Ovis aries: one gene and its partner. The protein of the gene in region 2 purifies or fractionates together with the protein of the main gene of each other region. This does not show direct contact. Links are inferred from orthologs where the notes say so. Each region holds a gene or a part of one and is shown on either strand. Other genes may lie near its edges.

What was found. Proteins that work in one complex are often made in the same cells at the same time.
Region 1: the proteins of PRPF40A (region 2) and RBM25 purify together in Homo sapiens (affinity purification with mass spectrometry; 5 studies listed by BioGRID and IntAct, with this or other methods). This does not show direct contact. The link is inferred for Ovis aries from reciprocal best matches to the Homo sapiens genes PRPF40A and RBM25.

What each region holds. Positions count from the first base shown.
Region 1 is NC_056060.1:82,674,256-82,677,774, reverse strand, and holds part of RBM25 (RNA-binding protein 25), read right to left. Parts: intron 1,731-3,519; coding exon 1,508-1,730; intron 1,397-1,507; coding exon 1,307-1,396; intron 1-1,306. UniProt on the Homo sapiens protein: RNA-binding protein that acts as a regulator of alternative pre-mRNA splicing. Involved in apoptotic cell death through the regulation of the apoptotic factor BCL2L1 isoform expression.
Region 2 is NC_056055.1:156,955,821-156,959,339, forward strand, and holds part of PRPF40A (pre-mRNA-processing factor 40 homolog A), read left to right. Parts: intron 1-240; coding exon 241-378; intron 379-626; coding exon 627-722; intron 723-2,688; coding exon 2,689-2,775; intron 2,776-2,861; coding exon 2,862-2,958; intron 2,959-3,041; coding exon 3,042-3,103; intron 3,104-3,519.

The DNA of each region.
Region 1 (3,519 bases), on a different chromosome or scaffold from region 2:
AGGAATACAAACTTTCACTTTTTATACTACATACTTCTGTTCCTTGAACGTTTTTCAAATTCCTTGAACATTTTTCAACTGACAAGTAACTATTTTCTAACTGGAGGTTTTTTAAGCTTCCCCCCAAAAAATTACTAATAGGAAACCTTTCTCTAGAAAGACAGGTTTCAGATTTGCTTATAGGAAATGGAATCACTTGTTAAAAGTATTTTGTCTTTTACTATATTATTCTCTATTTCTAACCTAAGGGTTAAGAACAAATTATAGAATGGGAGCTACAATCCAGGGAAATCAAAATCACTTTAAATAATTCTAGGACTTTAAAAGATCTGCCATCCAGAAAACCCATACTATCTAATTGCTGTATGCACCCCTTTGGTTACTTACAAAAATTCCATCTATGTCTCATGTTCAAAAGCTATTTGAAGAAGGTTCCTAACTTTAATGATGTTTTTGGGAGAATAGACTCCAAACTGGAGATAAAGAAACTTTCATGAATCTCTGGCAAAGACAGAACATATGGAACATACTATAGAAGCAAATACTATGATAAAATATATTATCTTTTCATCATTTTACTTCATTAACCTATGCCAATTGCTTCACTATTAGCTTATCAAAGTGTAAATGCAAAAAATAATTGCATTATTCATTATTATTATAATTCATTATTATAGTGTAGTTAAAAGGAAGGATATTATAGTAACATAAGGAAAAACAGTAACTCATAAGTGCTATATACTGAAGTCAGTAATTTTGATTTCTAAAAACAGATCTTCTCGTAAGACTGTTTCCTTCACCCAAATATACTACACCGATAGAGTATCAAAGCCTCTAAAACCCTCTTCAAATTAAAAAATGCTGCAGATGTTTAATCAAAGAAAGTTCTATAAATCCTCATTTTATACATTATTATATACAGGTTTACTTTGACAATATGCCAAATGATAATTTAGTTTATAGGAGGCCAAAATGTGAAAAACAGGAAGAAAAGGAGGCGAGAGGGAGACTCAAGAGGAAGGGGAAATATGTACACCAATGGTTAATTCATGTTGATGTATGACAGAAGTCAAACCAATATTGTAAAGCAATCAATCAATTAAAAATAAATATTTTAAAAAAGAATAGGAGGAAGAAACATCTTGCTGTACTGAAACTGTCTCAACTTCACTTGAAATATTATTTATATTGGAGCTCAGGTTTTTTGATGAGAGATGATACTTTTTAATTATAAAGTCACTTCTACTTAAATGATTTGATCTGATTTTTATCTGAAAAACCACTTATTTTTAAACAAGAAAATTACCATTTCTCTTCTTCTTTCTTCTTCTCTTTCAGCCTCTTTTTCATATTCTCGGGTTTTCTTTCGTTCTCTGATTTCCCAATTCTTAAGGCGCTAACAAGACAAATTGTCAAAAGTTTTTAAAATGTATACAAAAGGTTCTGAAATTTTTGACTAACCTACTAAGTACCAACTTTTATCAATAAAAGCATTCCCTCAATTTACCTCTTGATAGGCAGCCTCTTTCTCGCGGAGCTTTCTTTCAAGTTTTCTTCGTTCATATGCATCTTCTTCATCTTCTTCTCGATCTCGCTTTTTGTCCTTCTCTCGCTCACGCTCCCGTTCCCTTTCTCGCTCTCTCTCTCGTTCACGTTCCCGTTCTCGTTCCCGTTCTCTCTCTCTTTCTCTTTCCCTCTCCCGTTCCCTTTCACGATCTCTGCTCTTTTCTCTACATAAAAGATTGTAAGAATCTGTCAGTATCCTCTGTTTTCTTTTAGAAACCAAGAGAAAGGAGGACAATATGAAATAAGATACAAACTCACAAGCCAAAATTTAGCATTTGGTTTCTGCAGAATTGTAAACTCCTCATACAAGCCAGAAAGACACAGAATATAATTCTAGCCCCAAATTCTGCACTGCATTCTAAACTCGATTTTAACGCTTATCAGCATCTCAGAAAACAAACAAAAAAATCCGGAATAAGAAAAATACTAAGGGCCGATGAACATGATACAAGATAGTCAATTCCAGCAGTGATCAAGCCAGTACAGACAATGGCAACGGTGTGAAGCAAACAGCACTCTGGCATGCTGCATGCATAAACCAGAACTACAGCTAACTCTTGAATAACACTGGTTTGAGTTGTACAGGTCCACTTATATATGGGGCCTTCCCAGGTGGCTTAGTGTCTGAGAATCCACCTACCAATGCCAGAGTCAAAGAAGACTCGGGTTCTATCCTTGGGTCAGCAAGTATTTCTGCTGGGATATTCCCGAGGACAAAGCAGCCTGGTGGGCTACAGTCCATGGAGTCACCAAAAATCACACACGACTGAGCAGCTGAGCATGCACATACATATTTACAAGTGGTGTTTTCTCAGCCATAGGTACTACAGCACTACACAATCTGAGGTGGGTCAAGTCCATGGACAAAGAACCATAGACACAAAAACTGTATACAGATGGCCATCTATAAGTTATACTCAGATTTCTGACTGCACAGAGTTGATACTCCTAACCCCAGCATTGTTCAAGGGTTAACTATACATCTTTCAGCAGTAAGAAGTTCTCATGCATTTAATTCAGAGGGATAAAACCAAACGGCAGATTTGTGATGCCATGGATTCTAATCAAATACAAATACATGTATATATGAAACAATATACCTTAGTAAAAGTATAAACCATTTTATACATGTATAAAACCATGATTTTATACATGTATACTTTATAAAAGTATAAACCATTTTATACATGTATAAAACCATGATTTTATACATGTCAAATCTTAACAGTGTTTATTCAAGAGAATGATGGTTATTCCAGGGGAGGAAGGAATTTAATGCCCACTACAGATTTAAAAGCACTGAATTTCAGTAACTGGTGGACCTCGTTTCAGCTACAATTAAGTGGAATATCTCAACAAAGTAATGTATATATGAAAACTAGCTTGGGAAAAAAGTGAACTTTCCTCTCTTCCTTTTTTCTGCTGCTTCCTTCTGTTCACTCCCTTCTCTTTGTTCATTTTTGCTCTCCCTCATTCCTGAAGAATTGGAGATGATAGCCCATAGGAAATCTATATAATGATGAGAAAATTTTAAATAAAACAAAAGTGAAATCACTAGGAACCATCAAGAAAAGACTAACTTGTCTGGGAGGTAAGGTGTGACCAACCAGTGGTTTATGGGACCAAATAAACACCAGGAACTAAAAGCAGCGCAACTAGAGCTGATTTTCCGCAGGAGACCTCAGTTAGTGTCTAAAAACAGCGCCCATTGACCAAGGGAATCACGCCTATCCAAACACTGGGAGAACGACTGGTGTATGCTAGATCTGAGTAAAAACAGGCTTCACACAGAAACTAACCCAAAGCTGAAAACTGTTAGTTTAACCAATATTTCACACGTGTGTGAGGCAGCAAGCCAGGCATGCTCTGTGGCCCATGAAATTCTCTCATCACATCAATGTAAATGGCCCCAATGTACTAGCCTGTGATTCTATTAAAGCTATCAGGCACACA
Region 2 (3,519 bases):
TACATTTGGCTAAAGATACTTAAGTTGTATGTAAACTCCTGAAATAAGGGAATAGGAATAGTATTTTACAGAGTAGTGGACACGGTTTCAAATAAGGTAACAGATAATATACTTAGATAATGAGTGATAGTAAATTCCTTTGCTAAAATTAATTGACCCTTACCTTATAGATGATGGGAGAATAATGAATTTAACACAAGTTAAATTGTACTACATATATATAAATATGTTTTCTAAAAGTTACTAGAAAAGGCAGAAGCCCGTGAACGTGAAAGAGAAAAAGAGGAGGCTCGGAAGATGAAACGAAAAGAATCTGCATTTAAGAGTATGTTGAAACAAGCTACTCCTCCAATAGAATTGGATGCTGTCTGGGAAGATGTATGTATACTTAAAAATTTTTTCCTTTTACAGTTGAAAATAAAAATCTTTTTCTTTCTCATAGCTACAGAGATAAACTGAAGTTATTTGAAGATTGTGAACTCAGCTGTGATGGCATTTAGGAATACTGGAGAAACGGAAATAAAGACAAGGGGGCTGGGCTGTCAATTTTCACTTGCTGTTTTTTTAGTCATATTGGTATATTTTTCTCAGTTTTCATATTTTTATTGCATATCTGAATTTTTCAGATCCGGGAGAGATTTGTAAAAGAGCCAGCATTTGAGGATATAACTCTAGAATCTGAAAGAAAACGAATATTTAAAGATTTTATGCATGTGCTTGAGGTAATTTTAGTTTTATTGTAATTGGCTGATACATTAAAAAATATGTAAAACATTTTTTTAAATCAAATTTAGAATGATCAAAGTGTTTTTCCTAAATTACACTACTTTTATATACATGTACTTAACTATCTGGGATGATTAGGGAATGGTTTATTCTATAGAAATTGCTTTTAAGTGAAACACACTAGGCTTGCATGAGAAGGTAAAGATCTGTTCTGTGAAGATAGTTCATATATGTTTCATATTTATACAGTGTTACAGAAGTTCATCAATTTAGGAGTCACATGGAATGATTAATAAACCTGTAAAGAACTTAGAATCTGTAAAGCAGATAGGAAACGGTTTTAAGCATATTTCAAATAGAGGTGTTGGAAGCACAGGGATGTTCTGAAAAACAGTAAGTTTTTGCTAAAACAAGTAATGATAAAATTGCAAATTATTCCACTAGCTGAATTAAGGGTATTTTGATGAAGATTTCAGATAGTCACTTATAGATAGTAAACATGCTAAATTGACCAATAATAATTATTATTTGGTGCCCATGTTATGTTTTATAAATATTACATATACGAATGTAATCCTCACAGAAACCCTGTGAAGTTACAGATGAGCAAACTGAGCCCAAGAGGAAAAGTAATTTGCTGTGAAGGGATTCCAATGTAGGCTTTGACTCTAGGGCCAGTGCTTTTACCAAGTATGCTTTGCCATCAGTTATGGATAAACTTATACTTCACAGCAGAGTGAAGTTAGCATATACTTAAATTTGTAATGTTCATGGTCTTTGGGAATAGTAGGTAACTTAATTGTTGATGATTCTTTGGATTTATTGTCCTTGATAAGTATCAGTGTTGACAACAATTTGCTCTGTTAACATGCCCCACATGTACCATATGTTGTCTCTCAGCTGCCTTTAGATCTAGTGCTATTGGCCTGTAGATCTTTTCTACTCAGATCAGCAGCATTTGCGTTGTCTGTAAACTTGTTAAAAATACAGAACGTCAGGCCCCATTGGCAGAAATGTATCAGAATTATTATTGTTGCAAGATTCTTAAGCACAGGAATGTACATTTAATTTTGAGAACCTTTGCTGTAGTGTAGTGTGTTAATATTTTCCCCTAATTCAGGAATGTCCACAACAAGATTCTTTCATGATCTATGCTGGTAAAGTGATGAGGTCATAAATGGAGCTGATGACCACATAGGGAAGAGCTGAACATACCAGAAAAGGATTTGGACCTCAAAAACGGGCGTTGAGGTAGAAAAGGAAGAAGAGTTAACAGTTAGTGACATAAAAAGTGAGAGTCCCTGGTTTGGGAGTAGGGGACTTCTACTGCAGCATTTCCTCTCTCCTTCTAGCCTGATCATTGTTCTAGTAAAATAGTTAAAATCCATAGAACATTTCCTCTTTTGATTTCATGTGTAGTTAGATTGCCTTTGGATATCTTAAGTTTGACTAGGAAGGGAATGCTCCTTGAAAAGAAAGTAGATTTTGTATTCAATTTCTGAGACTAACCTCCTTGACAGATGGCTCTGGGATAATCCTTTATTTCAGTGGTGAACTTAGCTCACTGACAAAAGGCACGTTCATCAAATAAATACTATATAATTATATTTCATTGTTTTTGAAAGTAGTATGACTGTTCTGAAGACATATACCTTTATAGAGGGTATCGGTTGTCCCCACTGTACCCAAACCATTCTCATTGCTGTAAAATGTATTTTATTAATACTTTTAAACCTGTGTTTAGATGTGAAATGAGTACGTATAGGATAGTTAAAATGTTCTCTTCGCTTTTAAGTGATAGTAACTCTTTGCACAGTTTCAAGTTGGGGAGTACATCCTAAAAAGGCAAAATGAATGTCGTTTTTACTCTAAAAAGAACTTACTTGCAAAACTATTAAAAATTCTCTGTGATCTGTTATCTAAAGTGTGAGCTTTTGTAATTTTTTTCTTTTGCCCCTGTAGCATGAATGTCAACATCATCATTCAAAAAACAAGAAGCATTCTAAGAAATCTAAAAAACATCACAGAAAGCGCTCCCGCTCTCGATCAGTAAGGAAGTTTATTTCAAATGGTACCATAAGTATATTGAAGTATTTATTACCATCATTATGAATAAAATTATTTATGTTGTGTAGGGGTCAGATTCAGATGATGATGACAGCCATTCAAAGAAAAAAAGACAGCGATCAGAGTCTCGTTCTGCTTCAGAACATTCTTCTAGTGCTGAATCTGGTAAACATATCTTTTAACTTGATTAAAGTCATTGGCATTTGGATGTCCTCAAATTCTGACACTTTTCTTTTCATGCTGCTTAGAGAGAAGTTATAAGAAGTCAAAAAAACATAAGAAGAAAAGCAAGAAGAGAAGACATAAATCAGTAAGCAGACTCTTGATTTTTATACTGCACCTAAGCTTTTGCCCTTAGCTTTCTCAGTGGCAGTAGACATTTCTGCTTGGTCCTATACAGAGTTTAGGTGAGCACCTGAGCTCAAGAGTTTCATAGTTGTGGTTCACCTTAATCTTGCAATAAAATCCTTTGGTGAACTTGAAACAAATAGTAATCTTAGAGAAAGACCCGTGTGTGTGTGTGTGTGTGTGTGTGTGTGTGTGTGTGTGTGTTATAGCTATTGTTGAGAACCACAAGTTTAAGCAACTTTCTCTTCTATGCTCGGTTCTTGGTCTTAGGTACACATCAAGATACACCTAATCTTAGGGATGAAGGTACACCTAATTTAGTGACCCATTTTTAGTGATAATTTACCCTATCAGACTGTCATGTTTCCCATAGGAAAG